5 linked regions of the Cricetulus griseus genome follow. The protein of the gene in region 2 purifies or fractionates together with the protein of the main gene of each other region. This does not show direct contact. Links are inferred from orthologs where the notes say so. Each region holds a gene or a part of one and is shown on either strand. Other genes may lie near its edges.

Evidence for each region.
Region 1: the proteins of Fbxw8 (region 2) and Cct2 purify together in Homo sapiens (co-immunoprecipitation; 3 studies listed by BioGRID and IntAct, with this or other methods). This does not show direct contact. The link is inferred for Cricetulus griseus from reciprocal best matches to the Homo sapiens genes FBXW8 and CCT2.
Region 3: the proteins of Fbxw8 (region 2) and coiled-coil domain-containing protein 8-like purify together in Homo sapiens (affinity purification with mass spectrometry; 3 studies listed by BioGRID and IntAct, with this or other methods). This does not show direct contact. The link is inferred for Cricetulus griseus from reciprocal best matches to the Homo sapiens genes FBXW8 and CCDC8.
Region 4: the proteins of Fbxw8 (region 2) and Cul7 purify together in Homo sapiens (affinity purification with western blotting; 12 studies listed by BioGRID and IntAct, with this or other methods). This does not show direct contact. The link is inferred for Cricetulus griseus from reciprocal best matches to the Homo sapiens genes FBXW8 and CUL7.
Region 5: the proteins of Fbxw8 (region 2) and Cul1 purify together in Homo sapiens (affinity purification with western blotting; 9 studies listed by BioGRID and IntAct, with this or other methods). This does not show direct contact. The link is inferred for Cricetulus griseus from reciprocal best matches to the Homo sapiens genes FBXW8 and CUL1.

What each region holds. Positions count from the first base shown.
Region 1 is NW_023276806.1:139,267,219-139,271,089, reverse strand, and holds part of Cct2 (T-complex protein 1 subunit beta), read left to right. Parts: intron 1-611; coding exon 612-712; intron 713-910; coding exon 911-1,038; intron 1,039-1,945; coding exon 1,946-2,049; intron 2,050-2,995; coding exon 2,996-3,115; intron 3,116-3,723; coding exon 3,724-3,852; intron 3,853-3,871. UniProt on the Homo sapiens protein: Component of the chaperonin-containing T-complex (TRiC), a molecular chaperone complex that assists the folding of actin, tubulin and other proteins upon ATP hydrolysis.
Region 2 is NC_048597.1:97,991,363-97,995,233, reverse strand, and holds part of Fbxw8 (F-box/WD repeat-containing protein 8), read left to right. Parts: intron 1-1,384; coding exon 1,385-1,591; intron 1,592-3,871. UniProt on the Homo sapiens protein: Substrate-recognition component of the Cul7-RING(FBXW8) ubiquitin ligase complex, which mediates the ubiquitination and subsequent proteasomal degradation of target proteins.
Region 3 is NC_048602.1:11,621,354-11,625,767, forward strand, and holds the start of coiled-coil domain-containing protein 8-like, read left to right. Parts: upstream 1-1,544; 5' UTR 1,545-2,338; coding exon 2,339-3,880; intron 3,881-3,929; coding exon 3,930-4,414. UniProt on the Homo sapiens protein: Core component of the 3M complex, a complex required to regulate microtubule dynamics and genome integrity. It is unclear how the 3M complex regulates microtubules, it could act by controlling the level of a microtubule stabilizer.
Region 4 is NW_023276806.1:256,078,817-256,081,946, forward strand, and holds part of Cul7 (cullin-7), read left to right. Parts: coding exon 1-123; intron 124-1,446; coding exon 1,447-1,607; intron 1,608-1,769; coding exon 1,770-1,986; intron 1,987-2,063; coding exon 2,064-2,388; intron 2,389-3,130. UniProt on the Homo sapiens protein: Core component of the 3M and Cul7-RING(FBXW8) complexes, which mediate the ubiquitination and subsequent proteasomal degradation of target proteins. Core component of the 3M complex, a complex required to regulate microtubule dynamics and genome integrity.
Region 5 is NW_023276806.1:222,430,830-222,434,700, reverse strand, and holds part of Cul1 (cullin-1), read left to right. Parts: intron 1-484; coding exon 485-616; intron 617-1,674; coding exon 1,675-1,792; intron 1,793-3,012; coding exon 3,013-3,089; intron 3,090-3,549; coding exon 3,550-3,681; intron 3,682-3,871. UniProt on the Homo sapiens protein: Core component of multiple cullin-RING-based SCF (SKP1-CUL1-F-box protein) E3 ubiquitin-protein ligase complexes, which mediate the ubiquitination of proteins involved in cell cycle progression, signal transduction and transcription.

The sequences.
Region 1 (3,871 bases), on a different chromosome or scaffold from region 2:
AGCATGATTGGGACCAGTTTGTCAGTTGTGTTGTCTGTATTGTTTCTATTTTACAACAAGGTGGAGCTTTATTTGTTATTCATTTATTTTTTAGGGCAAGGTCTCTATTATGTTGCTCTCCTTAGTTTTGGGATAGACCACTGTGCCAGGCTAGGCTGAATTCTTTTGAAAAGCATAGCAATTCATAGCACTAATCTTCACTGCTTCTTTTGTCTTGTTGGTTTTTTAAGCTAGTAAAAATGAACTTAAATTTTTTACATTATAATCAATAGATTCTGGTCTATTGAATGTATTTCTATTGTTTTGTTTTGTTTTCTCTGTGTTACAGTTCTGGCTGTCTTGGAACTCACTTTGTAGATCCGCCTGCCTCTGTCTCCCCAAGTGCTGGGATTAAAGGTGTGTGCCACCACTACCTGGTCCTCAAATATATTTTAAATATTGAGTTGAGTTTGTGATCATTGCTGTAATAGAATGCTTTTTAGATTCTGGGAACATGGTACATTGTACTTTAAAATGCATTATTTGAATTACTAATTTGGTAACCCAGATAACTTTGCAGATTTACTAATGCATCATCAAAGTATTTATTGCCGCCTCTGTTTTTGTTGTAGGTTTTCTGTTGGATAAAAAGATTGGAGTAAATCAACCAAAGAGAATTGAAAATGCTAAAATTCTTATTGCAAATACTGGAATGGATACCGACAAAATAAAAGTACATGACTATATTTCTTGAAATTCTATTGCTGATTGCTGTTAATCAGGAGTCAAGTACATTAAACAGCTTGGGATCTGTTTGAAAATAATATATATGCCCACATATACTTTGTTCATAAAAATACTGTGTTATAGAACTTTATAGAACTTTAAAGAGGAGTGAGACTTAACTCTGTCTTTATGTCTTTCATCTTAGATATTTGGCTCTCGGGTCAGAGTTGATTCCACGGCAAAGGTTGCCGAAATAGAGCATGCAGAAAAGGAAAAGATGAAGGAGAAGGTTGAGCGTATTCTTAAGCATGGGATAAATTGCTTTATTAACAGGTCTGTGTTTGCTTGTGCTGACAGTGTTTTCAGCAAACCCTAAAGTTATTTTTGTTTCCATGTGAATTTATTTCCTGTCAAATTGCTTACTGTTAGAAACTGTTGTATATGGTTTACTTACAGTTACAGATTGTTGCAACTCAAGCAATCAGCTAAGACATACTCAGTGGACTGTTAGTTAGATTAGAGGCAAGTTTTACATGTTCTAAGGTTCCTCAATCCTTGTTGCTAGTCTCAGTACTTTATTGTACTGTACTCAGTTTTTCATGTTGTGATAAAAGGATACAGTGCTTGATGTGGTAGATGAAGTGAGGCTAATTAGTTGGGTGTTGTCACTTAAAGTACAGTAGTCAGTCTTGAGCACTCACAGTGAGATAACATCCATCTTCTAATGTAGAGAGAGGGCCACTAAGGGACTAGTAGACAGAAGAACACACTGGATTCACCAGAGGACTGATGATTCATTCATGCAGTTGTGGGACAGTGTACAGCAATGTCAGATTCTTCTGGATACTCAGGATAGGGAATGGCTTCAATATGATGAATTGTTTCTCTTGGAATTTCTGAGGGAGTGATTCTAGCTGGAACCTGAGAAATGAATCTCTTAAGGGGGAGACTCTTGGGTAGAAATAGCTTTCTTGAAGATTTTTAGCATTTCATTGCTGTAGATTACTGGTTTGGGGTTGTTTTGTTTTTTAATTTCTTTTTTGCCTTTGCTATGGAGGTTAGAGAGCTTGTGGGAATGGGATCTCTCCCATTTGAGACCCAAGGATTGAGCATACATCATCAGGCTGGTTTTGTTTGTTTGTTTGTTTGTTTGCGGCGAAGTAAAATGTTTACAGGTTTTGTATTTCATCATGAGAAGTGGCCATTTTGAGCATAAAGTTCCTTTGTATTTTGTTTGCAGACAGTTAATTTATAATTATCCCGAACAACTGTTTGGTGCTGCTGGTGTCATGGCTATTGAACATGCAGATTTTGCAGGTGTGGAACGCCTGGCACTTGTCACAGGTATGGAAAAAGACATTAGTTTCTAGCAAGTATAATTACCATTCTTGTATTTATTGAGCATTACTGTGCAGTGCATTGCTGAGAATAAGAAGAAACCCCTTAAAGAGCTAAGGGTATATAAGTAGTTATTCTGAATTTTGCCTTTAGTTACATTGTTTGAAGAATTATATTGATTTTTGTATGTTTTGGGTGCATATGAGCCATGGCTAGCATGTCTCTTCCCTTGTGAGTCTTGGGTCTCAAACTCAGGTCATAAGGCTTGGTGGCAAATATCTTTATAGTATTCTGAATTATCTTACTGGTCCCAGAAGTAGTAGTAAGTAGTTAGTAGTAGTAGTAGTAGTAGTAGTAGTAGTAGTAGTAGTAGTAGTAGTTTTCTCTCTTAGAAATGCTTGGTGCTTGGTACTCAAGTTTCTCAGATTTTGGATCTTGGGTGTGTGGAGTGAACTACTTGATCATGCATAGTGAGATAACGGGGTAAAATTCAAGTCTAAACATGGAATTCATTTTTATTAGATATGTATGCCTCATACACAAAGATATCTTCAATATTTTTGGTTGACTTGCGTTTTTACTGGTCCATTGCGTGGACTCAGATACAGTATTTTCTACTTCAGTTATTTTTGTTCTTAAAAAGTTGCACATTTAGGTTTCAGTTTATGAATGTTTAATATGTATACCAAATTATATAAATGCTAGGTTTGCCATGGCTGTGGAATTCTTTTTGTTGTTGTGTTTCAGGACACCTAGTTCTTTCACACAAATATAAAGATTAGTTTTCTAGGTATAGTCTAAACAAATTGGAGCTTTAAAAAGTGAATCCAAAAACAGCCTCAAACCCACAGAGATCCGCCTGCCTCTGTCTTCCTAGTGTTGGTATTATAGGCGTGTGCCACCATGCCCAGCTGAGAGCTATTTTAACCCTGTAATGTGTTTATGATCATAGGTGGTGAGATTGCCTCCACTTTTGATCACCCGGAGCTGGTGAAGCTTGGAAGCTGCAAACTTATTGAGGAAGTCATGATTGGAGAAGACAAACTCATCCACTTTTCTGGAGTTGCCCTTGGTGAGTGACTATGTAAATTTTGGCTTAAGTATCTAGGTCCTTGTTGGCCTCTTGAAGCAAAAGAAAAGTTACCGTAGTGCTAAAATACATTCTATAGGTGAGACGGTGAATCAGGTGCTTGGTGCTGAGATTGATGACCTAAGTTCCTTCTCTGGGACACATACAGTAGAAGGAGAGAACCAGTTTCCCCTTACTAACATGCATGCATACCCCCACACACATACACCCAAAGATTAATACGTGCAGTGGATATATAAGCATGCATACTCCCCCACACACACACCCAAAGATTAATACGTGGAGTGGATATATACGGACAAATATAAAGTAAATTTTGAGAGGGCCTATTTTTTGTTTTGTTTCAGTGTCTTGAGGTCTTACGTTGATATTTGCTGTGCCTTTTTGAAATGTGTACATTTAGCATAGATTTTCTTGATTAACTTAAGAGTACTTACAAACATGGATTTTTGCAGAGAAAGCATTGCATGGTAGATGACATCAGCTACCAAAACCCAATAATAGTCATGCATACATAAATAATGAAATGCAAATAACTGTGTGGTATGTGACTACATGGAAACTGACATGAATATTATATTTGATGTTAGGTGAGGCTTGTACTATTGTACTTCGTGGTGCCACACAACAAATTTTGGATGAAGCTGAAAGGTCTTTGCATGATGCCCTTTGTGTTCTTGCCCAGACTGTGAAAGATCCTAGGACAGTCTATGGAGGAGGTAAGTATTTGGAAAGTGT
Region 2 (3,871 bases):
ACCCCCACCCATGGAGCTGGACCATCTTTGTTCCCTAGCTGTGCTTCCTAAATAACAGTGGCAATGTTCCCAGGTCTGCAGTGTTAGCTTGGAGCAGCTGGCCTTTGTGATGGACACACAGCCCAAGATGTTGGGCTGCCTCGGTGCAGTTTGGGCCCAGGATTAGCACAGGCACCGGATGTTTGCTTGTGCTCAGCTCCCCAGGGCAGCCTGCAAAACTCGGGCTTTTGAGAGCCTCTGGCATATTGTCAGGGTGATGCTGTCCTTTACACCACGGATTTTTATAATTCCACAGTGGATTCACCCTCAGCACCCACACTCTAAGCAGGTGTGCCTGATGAAGACTGCTCTGGGGAGAAGCGGATCATCCTAAAGAGTCATCTTCCCCCTGTGCAGTCAGAGAAGACACCGACAAGCGTGTGTTTTGTCTGTACTGGTCTCTATCCTCAGATGAAAGATGGCACAGGGTGATCAGTGCCTGACAGGCAGAGAGGAGAGAGCTAAGAACACAGTTTGGATCCTCTGGTGATGCCTTTGTGGTACCTACACGTTTTCCAGAATGTTTTTCTGCATTTGGAACTGGTGGAGTGTTACTTTTTCACTTTCTGGTAAAACAACAAAATAATTAAGGATAGCTCTAGACACTGCCATGTTCAGGATTTATAAGACCCAGAACAGCTGGAAATGCCTTTCCATCTCAGCCTGCTTCCACCCTTGAAGATAGCCATTGTTACCAGACATACCCAGGCCTGAGCCAAGTGTGTTGAAGCTCCGCCCATCTGCCAGAATTTTGGGGGCAACCCACTAGGAATACTGTTCCCTTGCTCCCCCAGACCCAGTTCATCTCCACTGTGATCCCACTGAATCATAAGCAGCTTTCAGGTTTTCTCCTGTGGATGTATGGCATTTGCTGTGTGTCTGTGTCATGTCTGCACAGTGACAGGAGGGGCACTGTAGTGACACCATGCATAAACCTTTGCTGTGCATGGTGTGTAAGCACTGCTAGAGGGATCTCCTGGGTCAGCGTGAGCTTGCCGCTGTGGTAGGCATTGCCAGTCATTCCAGAGAAGGAGTTGGACTGGATTATGTCCCCTGTTCACCTCCAGCTCTGTAACCTCTGACTTCCCCTGATCCTCATGGATCGACAGGTGGAAAATGGGGTCTCCGTAGACTTTCCCTTGTGGCTTCCCTTCTCAGAGTACGTTGTGTTTCCGCTGTTACAGGCATCTTTTCATCTGGGCAGAAGCCATATTCATCCCCTATAAATGATCCCTGTGCCCAACTGTTTCTGTGAGTTAGGCCTTTGTCCTCTTGATGTACAGGGGACATTCCTTTCTTGAACAAGTCAAAATGACTGTGGGTGACTAAACAACTCTCTTTGCAGGTTGACTACCTGGAAATAGTCCCGGATACTGGGAGGTACCCCGTGGCAATAGCCACAGCTGGGGACCTGGTATACCTGCTGAAGGCCGAGGACTCAGCCAGAACCCTTCATTATGTCTACGGCCAGCCTGCCACATGTCTGGATGTCTCAGCCACCCAGGTTGCCTTTGGAGTCAAGAGTCTGGGATGGGTATATGAAGGAAACAAGGTACGGAAACAGTGACTTGTACATTAGCAAGAAATAGCATGTATTTAATTTTTTAAATGTAGCTGGAAAATTAAGCTCTTCTTGTTTTGGTTTGGTTTAGTTACTTGAAATAGGGTCTTGGATATCCTAGGCTGGCCTTGAACTCACTATGTAGCCTCCTGCCCTGCCTCCTCCCAAGTGCTCAGAGTAGCGGTGTGAACCACTATGCCTTACGATGTGATGTGTTAATACTCTTGTTTTCAACCGTGTCAGGGCAGTGTATTAGCATGGCAGAAAAATCCAAGCAAGTAAATGGAACATGAGATGAAGAGTATCTTCTTGACTGTACATGGTTGGTTATTAGTGATTTCCAGATGTCTAAGGACAAGAATCTAGCATATGTAGACACGTCTGTTGACAAGGGGCAGGTCTTTGCAGGCGTGGGGTCATGGTTTGTGCCCTGTTCTGTGTGTAGCATTTACTCAGCAATGTACCTCAGACAGCGTTTCATATCTCATGTCCCAGCTCTGCCCTAGAGTTCCAGTGTGTGTTTAGAGCTCATAGGCTGTGTAGCCAATACTCTCACTGGTGTGTATGTATGTAGGCCACCCTTGTTGTTTGGGCCACCTCAGGGAATGCTGCACCACACACTGCAACTTGCAGAGATCCTTGTGCAGTCTGTCTTTAGGAAATGCATCACCATGTAGATGGTCATTGCTAAATCACATTCTAAGGCAGAGCCAGTGAGACAGTTAGGCAAGTCAAGATATTTGCTACACAAACCTGATGACCCAAGTTCTATCCCTGGAAGGAGAAGAGCCAACTCCACAAAATTATCCTCAGACCTCCACCCATGTATTACCATGGCATGTGCCCCATGCACATATACACAGTAATATAATAAAATTAGGAAATAAAATGAAAATTTTACGTTATAGTTTTTGTTGTCATTAGCTGCATGAAAGTGCCTGCTGCTGTGTGTGAGCCAGACAGGAAGAAAGTCTTTTGTTAACTCTTGGGTGATAGCCGTGTTTTTTTGTTTTGTTTTGTTGGTTTTTCGAGACAGGGTTTCTCTGTGGCTTTGGAGGCTGTCCTGGAACTAGCTCTTGTAGACCAGGCTGGTCTCAAACTTACAGAGATCCGCCTGCCTCTGTCTCCTGAGTGCTGGGATTAAAGGCGTGAGCCACCAACGCCCGGCTGATGGCCGTGTTATCGCCGCATTTTAGCATATGATTGCAGGCCAAGTCCTCAGTCTTAAAGCTGGTTTACAGAACTCGCCCCTTTTGGGTGGGATCAGGGGAGATGTGTGGATTTCTTTTGGCTTTAGGTTCCTTTTGGTTTGCTGCTCTCTACCCCACTGGCAGTCAGGGTCTTCCTGGGAAGAAACACCTGAGCCAAGGGCTCCTTCTCCTAATGAAGGAGTTCCCTTTCCTACACAGCAGTGGTGTGAATTGGAGAGGCAGGCTCTGCACATAAGCTGCCCAGCCCTGTCTCCTATGACCCAGTGTGACCTCAGGCAGGTTGCCTAGACCTCCTTCTGCCTCTCTCTCTTAAAAAATTTAGATTAATGTATTTTATATTTTATGTGTATTTCTGTGCACCTCATGCATGCTATGTGCCCTTAGAGGTCAGAGAGGGCTTTGGATCCCCTGGAACTGGAGTTACATACAGGTGGTTTTGAGCTATTATTGGAGCTGGGAACTGAACCTGGGTCCTCTGCAAGAGCAGCCAGTGCTCTTAGCTGCTGAGTGTCTGTCTCCCCAGCCCCTGCCTGTTTCCTCTTTTGTAAATGGTTCCGGCAGTACCTGCTGATAAGCTTGGGCTCCACTGAAGGGTGTACTTGGTTCACGTCAGCGCAGCTCAGTCAGCCCTGTTGTATTTCCTCTTCTCTGCTGCTCACACTTGGATTCCAGGCTCCAATGGTATTTGTATGTTTCATTTCCCCCCATATATTTGAACTGTGCAGTCAAATATGATTCATAGGTGCCATTGTTTGGGGTAGTGTGGTGCTCAAAAATTGAAGCATCCTGGCTTCTACATATAAGACCCAGAGTGGCAGCAAAAGGCCTCTCTGGAAGGCAGCAGTTTGTGCTGGGTCAGCCCTTCCCTCATTCCTAGCTGGGGAGCCCCTGGGGAAGCCACCGGAGTGACTTCCCAGGAAGGGGCAAGGAGGAGGCACCGGATTCTTCTCTCTTGTTTCCTTCTCCGAGCTGGAAAGGCTCTGGTTCCCAAAGGAAGGACTTGATTGCTCAGTTTGTCTGTTTTGCCTTCAGTTTTGTTACCTTGTTTGTTTTTGGTGTT
Region 3 (4,414 bases), on a different chromosome or scaffold from region 2:
CATGTTTGGTTCTTGTGCAGATTAGGAAGTGTCCGATCCCCTGCAACTGGGTGACTGTGAGTGACCATGTGGGTGCTGGGAACCAAATCCAGCTCTTTTTCAAGAGCACCAAGGGCTCTTAGTCACTGAGTCACCTCTCCAGCCCCTGGGGTTGTTATTTGAGACAGGGTCTCTTGTAGCCCAGGCTGGCTTTGAACTCTCTTTGTAACTGAGAATGACCTTAGTCTCTTCATCCTCCAAGTACTGGGATCACAAGTGTGCACTCCATGTCTGGTAGATGTTTTTATATTGGTATTAAATTAATTGTTATATGTTGATATTAACCCTTTTAAAAAGGATGTATTTATTTTTATGTTCATTGCTGTTTTGCCTGCATGTATTCCTGTGCAAGGGTGTTGGGTCCCTGGGAACTGGGGTTACAGACAGTTGTGAGCTGCCACATGGGTGCTGGGAATTGAACCCGCATCCTCTGGAAGAGTGGTCAGCATTCTTAACCACTGAGCCATCTCTCCAACCCCTAAAGTCACTTCTTTACTTAATTTTTGTTGTTGTTGAAAACATTGTCTTTCATCCTGGCATGGTAGCCCATGCACGCCCAGAAGACCAGTAGTCAGAGTATGAGGCAGGAGGATCACTGTAAGTTTGAGGTCACGTGGGATACATAGTAAATTAAGAACTAAGGTACCACAATATCTCTTTGATCTTAAAAGATTTTTTAAAGAAAATATTGTATTTTAAAATTTTATCATTGTGTATATATTTGCATATGTTTAATCTATGCGTGTGGAGATTGGACAACCTTCTTTTTTTAAAAAAAAAAAGATTCATTTATTTATTATGAATACAACATTCTGCTTCCATGTCTATCTGCACACCAGAAGAGGGTACCATTATCTCATAATGGATGGTTGTGAGCCACCATATGGTTGCTGGGAATTGAACTCAGGACCTCTGGAAGAGCAGCCAGTGCTCTTAACCTCTGAGCTATCTCTCCAGCCCTGGGACAACGATTTGTGGAGTTGGTTTTATGTGGGTTCTGGGGATTGAATTCAGGTCATCAGGCTTGCATGGCAAATGTTTTTACCCACTGAGTTATCTTGTGGGTCCCTTTTTTATGTGCATGAATGTCTTGCCTGCGGCTATGTATGTGCATTAGTGCCCACAGAGATCAGAAGGGGGTGTTGGATCCCCTGGGCCTGGAGTAACAGAGGATTAGGAGCCATCACGTGGGTCCTGGGACTCAACGCAAGGCCTCTGCAAGAGCAGCCCAGGCTCTTAACCATTGAGCCATCTCTCTGGTCCCATCCCGGTAAGTCCACTGGCCTTAGCCTTGCACGTCGAGTATGGCAGGTTGGAGACCCGCTGCCTTTCGGGGGCGGGGGTTGGGGGGGAGGAGGACATGATGACGTGGGTTTTGGAAGCTGAGATGGGAAGCCGTGGCCCCAGCGAGGCCCTAGGGGGCGGCCACACCTCTGTGGGGAGGAGAGGGAGGTTGCCCTGAAGGGAGTGGACAGCTCCGCTGCCAGTCTTCCCAGGCTGAGAGTGTAAGATGAGAAGAAGGTGGGCCTCACCCAGGAGGGGAGGGCGCCCAGAAACTTCCTGCCACTCTCAGCTCCACCGCAGACAGACAGCAAGCAAGGTCAGCCTGGAGCGGGTGGCTGCCTTCCTGGGGGCGGGAGACCCTCCTCGGTGCTGGGCGGAGGCCTTGAAGCTCCTCGCCATATTGAACGGCCACCACGCTGAGCCGCCTTTGTTTGCAGAGTCCTCCCACAAACTTTCAGCTGCACCCCGGGGTGTCGGGGCCAAGGGAGAAGCGATCAGAGATCAGAGCCCGTGCGTTCCCAGCTTGGAGCGGGGACGCTGGCGATTCCAGTTTGGACCGAGCTTTGAGCCTCGGGACTGACCTCACCTCTCTCTTCCCGTAAGCACCCTGGAAAATTGCTCGCTACAACTCCGAGGGGTGAGAGAAACCCAACTTGGACTCATCGCCTGCGGAGCAAACTGCGGGGAGGTGACACTCTGCGTGAGCAGAGAGTTGCTGGAACCCTCTCTGCCCTCTCCCCAAGACTAGAAGCAAGTTTTTTGTTTGTTTGTTTGGGCTTCTTGCCCCCCCGCCCCAGAGTCCACTCTGGAGATCTTAAAGACTCTCGAGAAAAGCCACGTGGGGGGATGGTTCCCCTGGGGCTTCCTCCCCTCCCCCGATTGCCTGATCCTCTGGAGTGTCCCTGATGTCTGCAAAGATGTCGATCTGGACGTGTTGGTGGAGGCCTTAAGGCCCGTGGGCACCTTTAAGAAGATCGGGAAGGTGTTCCGCAAAGAGGAGGACTCCACGGTGGGAATGTTGCAGATTGGGGAGGATGTTGACTATCTGCTCATCCCCCGGGAGGTCCGGCTGGCTGGGGGCGTGTGGAGGGTCATCTCCAAGCCCGCCACCAAGGAAGCTGTGTTTCGCGAGCGGCTGATGCAGTTTCTGCAGGAGGAGGGCCGCACCCTGGAAGACGTGGCCCGAATCATCGAAAAGAGTACTCCACACCCACCCCAGCCCCGCAAGAGAGCCAAGGAGCCCCGAGTGAGGGCAATCCCCCAGATGGTCACTCCTCCACTCCGGCTGATTGTAGGCACCTATGACAGCAGCAACGCCAGCGACAGCGAGTTGAGTGACTTGGAGACCTCCAAAGTCAAAGGCAACAGGGGCTCCCAGAGGACCAGAAAGGTGCGCAAAATGCCGGTCAGTTACTTGGGCAGCAAATTCCTGGGCAGCGACGTGGAGAGCGAGGATGATCAGGAGCTGGTGGAGGCCTTCCTCCGCCGGGGAGAGAAGAAGCCCGGCCTGCCTCCTCCACGACGCCGAGTCAATCTGCCAGTGCCCATGTTTGAGAACAACCTGGGTCCCAGGCCATCCAAGGCGGACAGATGGCGGGAGTATGTCAGTCAGGTGTCCTGGGGGAAGCTGAAACAGAGGGTAAAGGGCTGGGCACCCAGGTCAGGCTCCGAGGTGGGCGAGGCCCAGCAGGCCTCCATGGCAGCTGAGAGGGCTGGAGGACTGAGACACAGCCTCACCAGGGGGGACGATGGCTCCAGAAACTCGGAGGATGGGAGCGACCAGACACAGGGTACCAGCTGCTGGAATCCCAAATTCAAGTGGGTCTCCTTGAGGCGGTCCAGGAAGGAGCAGGCGGCGCCACTCCCAGCTCAGGGCACAGGCATGCCAGCCCAGGGGCCCCCAGAGGCTGCAGAGATCCAGGGGGCAGAGGCTCCAGCTAATCCGAGGGCAGGGGCTGCAGCTAATCCGAGGGCAGGGGCTGCAGCTAATCCGAGGGCAGGGGCTGCAGCCAATCGGAGGGCAGGGGCTGCAGCCAATCGGAGGGCAGGGGCTGCAGCCAATTCGAGGGCAGAGGCTGCAGCTAATCCGAGGGCAGGGGCTGCAGCCAATCGGAGGGCAGGGGCTGCAGCCAATCGGAGGGCAGGGGCTGCAGCCAATCCGAGGGCAGAGGCTGCAGCTAATCCGAGGGCAGGGGCTGCAGCCAATCGGAGGGCAGGGGCTGCAGCCAATCGGAGGGCAGAGGCTGCAGCTAATCCAAGGGCAGAGGCTGCAGCTGATCCGAGGGCAGGGGCTGCAGCCAATCGGAGGGTAGGAGCTCCAGCTAATCCGAGGGCAGGGGCTGCAGCTAATCCGAGGGCAGAGGCTATAGCTAATCCGAGGGCAGAGGCTGCAGCTAATCCGAGGGCAGAGGCTGCAGCTAATCCGAGGGCAGAGGCTGCAGCTAATCCGAGGGCAGAGGCTATAGCTAATCCGAGGGCAGAGGCTGCAGCTAATCCGAGGGCAGAGGCTATAGCTAATCCGAGGGCAGAGGCTGCAGCTAATCCGAGGGCAGAGGCTGCAGCTGATGCAGCCGAGGGCAGAGGCTGCAGCTGATCCGAGGGCAGAGGCTGCTAATCCGAGGGCAGAGGCTGCAGCTAATCCGAGGGCAGAGGTTGCAGCTAATCCGAGGGCAGAGGCTGCAGCTAATCCGAGGGCAGAGATTGCAGCTGATCCGAGGGCAGAGGCTGCAGCTAATCCGAGGGCAGAGGCTGCAGCTAATCCGAGGGCAGAGGCTGCAGCTAATCCGAGGGTAGAGGCTGCAGCTGATCCGAGGGCAGAGGCTGCAGCTAATCCGAGGGCAGAGGCTGCAGTTGATCTGAGGGCAGAGGCTGCAGGAGACCTGAGGGCAGAGGCTGCAGCTAATCCGAGGGCAGAGGTTGCAGCTAATCCAAGGGCTGAGACTCCAGCTAATCTGAGGGCAGAGGCCCCAGATAAGCCTGAGTCTGAGGTTGCAGGCAATCAGAGAACAGAAGCCCTACCTGACCGGAGGGCAGAAGCCATAGATAGTCAGAGGGCAGAAGGTCCAGCTAATGAAAGGACTGGAGCTGCAGA
Region 4 (3,130 bases), on a different chromosome or scaffold from region 2:
CTCTTCTATAAGCTGCAGAAGTCGAGCTCTGAGCTGTTTGGGCCACGGGCTGCCTTCTTGCTAGCCATGCAGAATGGCTGTGCCGATGCCTTGCTGCGGCTCCCTTTCCTCAGAGCTACCCATGTAAGCTCCTTCCCATACTGGACCCTGATCCTCTCCCTGTAAACTCTCTCCTGCCTCCCCAGAGTGGACCACCTCAGTCTCGATTCTGTGATGAGCGGTAGTTGTATGTGACCATATCTTGGAAATTAGGAAAAATTCATTACGTACACCATTTTTTTTAAAGATTTTATTTATTCGTTATCTATACAGTCTTCTGCCTGCATGCCAGAGAGCACCAGATCTCATTCAAAGTGGGTGTGAACCACCATGTGGTTGCTGGGAATTAAATTTTTTTTAAGATTTTATTTATTATGTATACAACATTCTGCTTCCATGTATATCTGCACACCAGAAGAAGGCACCAGATCTCATAACGGATGGTTGTGAGCCACCATATGGTTGCTGGGAATTGAACTCAGGACCTCTGGAAGAGCAGTGAGTGCTCTTAACCTCTGAGCCATCTCTCCAGCCCTACATACACCATGTTAAGATAGACAGACAGAGGAGAGAGAGGAGAGAGAGGGAGGGAGAGGAGAGAGTCTCAACTTGGCCTCCTAGTCTTTTTTTTTTTTAAAAAAAACTAGTTTAAATTTATTTTATGTGCATTGGTGTGAAGGTGTTAGATCTCCTGGAACTGGACAGTTGTGAGCTGCCATGTGGGTGCTGGGAATTGAACCAGGTCCTCTGGAAGAACAGCCAGTGCTCTTAACCGCTGAGCGATCTCTCCAGCCCCTGGCCTCCTACTCTTAAACTCAGGCCTGCCTATGCCTCCCGAGTGCTGGGCTACCACACTCAACTTTTTCAAAGGTTCATATATTCCAAGCTTGCCTTAAACTCACTATGTAGTCCCAGAATGACTTGGAACTTCTGATCCTCCTGCCTTGTGTCCTGAGTGCTGGAGTTCAGGCATGTATACTGTGTGGTGCTGGGGATTGAACCCAGGGCCTGTGCTTGCTAGGCATGTGCTCGCTCTACTGATGGAGAGTTACACTCCCTGCCCCTCCTTAATTCCTAATCCTTCTGCCTCCACCTCTCCAGCGCTAGGATAATAGATGTGTGCTGTCATGCCTAGTGATTTCATTTTTAAATGATTTGATTTTTAGACACAGTGTGGGGGAACTTGACTTTTCAGAGTTGTTAGTGTTGCTCATTTGCTTGCCTGTGAATGAAAGTGTCTGCTAGGCCAGGGCTGTGGTTCTGTGTATGACTATTAGTTCTGATTCCATCCCCAGCACCTCCTGAAGGGGGCGTGGAGGCTGAGGGATGGATGCAGGTGGTGGCCATCATACCTGCTTCCTCAGCCCTGGCTCATTCACTTGTGGTTTTCCTATGCTCTCTACTCAGGTGACTGAGCAGTTTGCTCGGCACATTGACCAGCGGATCCAAGGCAGTAGGATGGGTGGAGCCCGGGGAATGGAGATGCTGGCACAGCTTCAGCGATGCCTGGAGTCTGTCGTTATTTTCTCTCGCCTGGAGATAGCCACTACCTTTGAGCATTACTACCAGTGAGTTTGGATCTGTTGAGTAGGAAATGGGGAAGGCAAGCTCTCTGTTGTGGGGCAGGGCCAGCTCACAGGGTCTGAGTCTGAGACACAGACAGGACAGAGTGAGAACTTGGGTCAAACTGGCACCCACGCTGAGATCTGGCCCAACTGTGTGTGCTACAGGCATTACATGGCTGACCGTCTCCTGAGCGTAGGCTCGAGCTGGCTGGAGGGGGCTGTGATGGAGCAGATTGGCCTCTGCTTCCCCAACCGTCTTCCCCAACAGATGCTACAGAGTCTGAGCATCTCAGAGGAGCTGCAGCGTCAGTTCCATGTTTTTCAGCTCCAGCAGCTCGATCAGGAGCTCCTGAAGCTGGAAGACACAGAAAAGAAGATACAGGTGGGTTCCAGGGAAGGGATGGGCAAGGAAGAGGTGAGAGGAGGCCTTCAGCATTTGTGAAATTTGTTCCCTTTCAGGTGGCCCATGAGGACAGTGTCAAGGAGCACAAGAGCAAGAAGGAAGAGGCTGCTAGAGAGATAGCAGCTGTGGCTATGGCAGAAGAGGAGGAGGAGAAAGAGGAGGAGAAAGAGGAGGAGAGGGAGGAGGAGCAGGAGGAGGAGCAGGAGGAGGAGGGGGAGGAGGAGCTATATTATGAAGGGACAATGCCAGAAGTGTGTGTGCTTGTGCTGTCTCCACGCTACTGGCCTGTCACCTCGGTCTGCCACATGCTCAGTTCTACGGCACGCCTGCCCTCATATCTGAGGGGGACTTTAAACCACTACTCCAACTTCTACAACAAGAGTAAGCAACTGGGAAGAGGGCTTGGGCTTTGGGGACAAGGGTTGGCTACTGAGAAAGGGACAGAGAGTTGGAGTAGGTGCTGAAATCAGAAGCCTGCAAGGCTACAACCATAGCATCCCAGCATGCCCTTGTGCAGGGGGTATAGGATTCAGGAGGTAAGACTTCCTTAGAGGGACAGGGAATAGGGGGAGATAGAGGTATAAGTCTTCTAAGACAGGCCACAAGAAAGGGCTTTATGAGTGGGTGTGTCCAGGCATAGTGGAGTACACCTTTATCCCAGAACTCTGGAGGAAGAATCAAATGGATCTCTAAGAGTTTGAGTCTAGCATGTGACTAGCATGGAAGGTAGTCTGCATAGTGAGTTCTAGGCCAGCCAGAGCTACACAGAGACCTTGTCTCAAAAACAGAACCAAAGAGTGGGTGTGTGCTCCTCCCTCAATGGTCACATTTAGTCTCAAAGTGTTGGCTGGAGATGAGACTCTAGACTGGGCAAATCACAGCAGGCGAAGAGCAGAGCCCCCTCAGGAGGCCCAGACAGGCAGGAGGACAAGCCTCTCAACTCAGGGATTTTTGTCTCTAAAACAATTGAACACAACTCAAAGGGTATGGCTGCAACCTGCTTGGCACAGTTGAGCTCCTTGATACCCAAGGCTCTTTAGGGAAGCTGGGATTAGGAGCCACCATTCCAGAAGTCCTGCCTGGGGTTGCACACTGCAGAGTAGCAAGGCAGAGCTTGACTGGT
Region 5 (3,871 bases), on a different chromosome or scaffold from region 2:
GACTTAATAATTTTAGTGTGGAACTTTGCTTACTTTTTTTGTTTCATTTAATGTTTCAAAGATTGATTTATTTTATTATATGCATATGAGTGTTTTGCCTGCACATGTGTATGTATATGCACCAAATGTGTGCCTGGTGTCTGTTGAAGTTCCTCTGACACTGGAGTTACAGAAGGTTGTAAGCTACTATGTGCTTGGAATAGAACTCAGGTCCTCTATAAGAACAGCAAGTATTCTAACCCACTGAGCCATCTCTCCAGCCCTAGTGCTTTGCTGCTTGCTACTAAGTCTAGTTTAATCAACTGGAATTTAAGGAATGGATGGCAGTACTTACTGTAAGCATTCTGGAGTGAATTTATGCTGTCTGTACAAGTTAGTACACAGGCCCACCCAAAACCAAGCAATCGTTGGCTCCTGGTGGTAGCCAGAGATAGTTAGCTTGTGAATTTACTTCACTAATGTGTTCTTCTCCTGGCTTTGCCAGATGGTGGTCTTCAAGTACATCGAGGACAAAGATGTGTTTCAGAAGTTCTATGCAAAGATGCTTGCTAAGAGACTGGTCCATCAGAACAGTGCGAGTGACGATGCGGAAGCAAGCATGATCTCCAAGTTAAAGGTGCTGTTCTTTTCCTGGTGAACTCCCACTTCCTCCAGGGCTTTATTGATGTGGTTATTAGTCTCTCCATGCCGTCAGTGGGCAGAGGGGTTTGTGCAAATGAGCCCTGCTTGGGCTGGCCTGGGCTGGGCTCTGCTCACCATGTCCTCATCTTCGCCTGCCTCCCACCACTCAGCCTTGTTGGCTTTGGGTGAATGCTTAGCAGCTTCTTAGCACAGGCTGCCAAAACAAAACACCATGGACCAGGTGACTTAGGACAGAAATTAAGTCTCTATTTCTGAAGAGGGCATTCCTCCTGTCTTGAAGGTCACCACTTCACTTGGCAGAGTACCTGTGGAGAGCATCCTCTTACAGAGGCACCAGCCCCTGAGAGGAGCCCTACCCTCATGAACCCACAGGAGCTGGCCCACCTCCTAACACCTCCAGCACATTCTGGAGGGGACAGTTTGGAAGTAGAATAAGGGACAAGCAGATTATTTGGGATATGGGGGTGTGTGATTTGAGGGGCAGTTGTGACAGCCCAGGCTATCCTTTCACCTCTGCTTCCAAATAGATGGAAGGAAGGGAGGGAGGGAGGGAGGGAGGAGGAGGGAGGAGGAGGGAGGAGGGAGGAGGGAGGAGGAGATGGATGGATGGAGGGATGGATGGATGGATGGATGGATGGGTGGGAGGGTGGGTGGATGGATGGATGGATGGGTGGGTGGGAGAGTGGGTGGATGGATGGATGTGCACCACTACACCAGGTTGTAATCATTTCCCAATTGTAATCTACTAAAGTGGTAGAACACTTTGTTTTAAATGCTGCAATATACTTATTGCATATTAAAAACTTAATTGTTCAATTTTTAATGAACTTTTTGTCACATACTAATTTTAATCAGTATATATATATATATATATATATATATATATACTATAAGATATGACTAAGTGTTACTAGTAGTTTCATATAACAAAGATATGTTGTATTGTGATTTCTCCAAAATTCCCTTATATATGTTGTAGACATTCCATGTTTCTATATGAATTAATGAGATAATTGCCTTGGTTCATTTCAGCAAGCTTGCGGTTTTGAGTATACCTCCAAACTTCAACGAATGTTTCAAGACATTGGTGTAAGCAAAGATCTGAATGAACAGTTCAAAAAGCACCTAACAAATTCAGAACCCCTGGACTGTGAGTATTGAGTGCTCATAGAATGACTTTTTGGGACTAAACTGCAGAGGAGAGAAGTGACAGAATATGGAGTAAGGGTGGTAGATGGCGACAGAATTCCAAAGACTAAGAAAGAGAGGACCTTCTCTCCCTGTTTGGGGCGTCTCCTCTAACTCCCAGGATGCTATGATGGTAGCCTTGTCAGGACGAGATGATGCCAAGTCACATTTCCTGTAAAAGGAGGTCTTAATCGGTCTAGATAATAAAAAGCCAGAGTCAGATAGCTCAGAGATCAGAGAAGAGCAAGCCACGGAACACCTTACCTTCTTAGCATCTCAGCAGACAAAAGAGCAATTTCCTGTTTCTCCCTGCTTATATCCTGTTTCTGCCCAGCTACCTCACTTCCTGTCTGTCTGTACTGACCTACAGATCTCTGTGGTTAGCTAGAGGCAAGCTCCATTCTCTGACCCTCAGACAGGCATATCTGTATAAGCAAGATATCACCACATTTTCCAGGTTGGGCTTTGCTGATGTGTGGGCTTTTCTTCTTTTGAACCTTAGTTTGGATGCATTTCTGATTATTTTCCTTCTCTCGAGTTTTTTGATGAGAGTTGGAGAATTTTATTCTTCCCAAATTTCTACCATCATTAAGCTTAATTCTTTTGCTAGTAGACATCTAAGTTGTCTGTAAAGATAAAATTACCCTGATTTGTAGGTTATACGTGTCTCCTATCTGTCTTCACCAACTGTAATGCAGGTGGTTTTTTTGCTGTTGAGCTTTCCATGTCCTTGTATTTGGGGCTATTAAACCATTCCTGGTCACCACATACTGCTTAAGCAGACTGAACTTCATATATTAAAAAAATAAATAAAAATGAAATTTAACTTGGAACTCTCCATTGACAGTGAAGTGGAGAATTGTTGTCCTGGGGGAAAGCGGTTTCCTGTTCTACAACCTTTAGTCTGAGTTTCTGACATAGAGCATCTCGTTGTGTAGCCAGCTAGCCTGGACTTGTGGTCCTCTGTGTCTGATGTTGGGATCACAAGTATACACCACTATGTTAGGCTTCCATTTTTACTCATTTTAATTGGATAAGTTGAAACTCTCTGTGTTCAAATCTTAATTTTATATTTAAGCAAGACTTTTAATGTATTTTCTTTAATTTTGACCATTTCCTGTGTATGTGCAACAATAGAATTTTTCAATGTGTAAGAGTAATTAAATGTGTTTCCACCCCCAGTGGACTTCAGTATTCAGGTCCTCAGTTCCGGATCGTGGCCCTTTCAGCAGTCTTGCACGTTTGCCTTGCCATCAGAGGTAAGGGTTGTTACCTGATCTCTTTGAGGTGTGTGGGGAGGGCGAAGAGCAGCCTGGCCATCAGTGTGCTGAGCTGTGCTGAGCTGTGCTGAGCTGTGCTGAGCTGTGCTGAGCTGAGCGGTCAGAGCCGTGTTCGTGGAGAACAGGAAGTGGGCCTGGGTTGGTTAGCAAAAGGTGGTCAACTCTGTTGCTGCAGTATTGATTTATTCCTATAAGTGGAGAATCTCATTGGCTGCATGGTGAACTCTCTGGTACCTACTGGGCCTGGAGTAGAGACCTACTTTGGTTCTACTCTCCAGTGCCTACCGTGCTCACGAGACAGTTGTGCCTAACAGCTGTGGTTCACGTCTCTGTAAGCACTGATTTTGTTCTCAGAACTTGGGGCAAGGAGCTTTATTTAGAAATGCTGACTGTAGAATGTAGAGCCATCGATGCCACGTAGTGCTGTCCTTTCATCCAGCTGGAGCGCAGTTATCAGCGGTTTACAGCCTTCTACGCCAGTCGCCACAGCGGCAGAAAACTGACATGGTTGTATCAGCTGTCCAAAGGGGAACTAGTCACTAATTGCTTCAAAAACAGATACACTCTGCAGGTAAAACCATCTTTTTAATGGGGGGGGGAGGTTATTTTAGTACTAAATGATAAGACATATTATAGAAACCCTTCGAGATAACTCATGTGATAGGAGGAGTTCATCTCTAAAAAAGTAGTGTAGAGGGTAAAGCTCGCTTGCTGTGGTCAGGGGAGCTGAACTCATGTTCTTTTGCCTAGGGGCAAGTTAC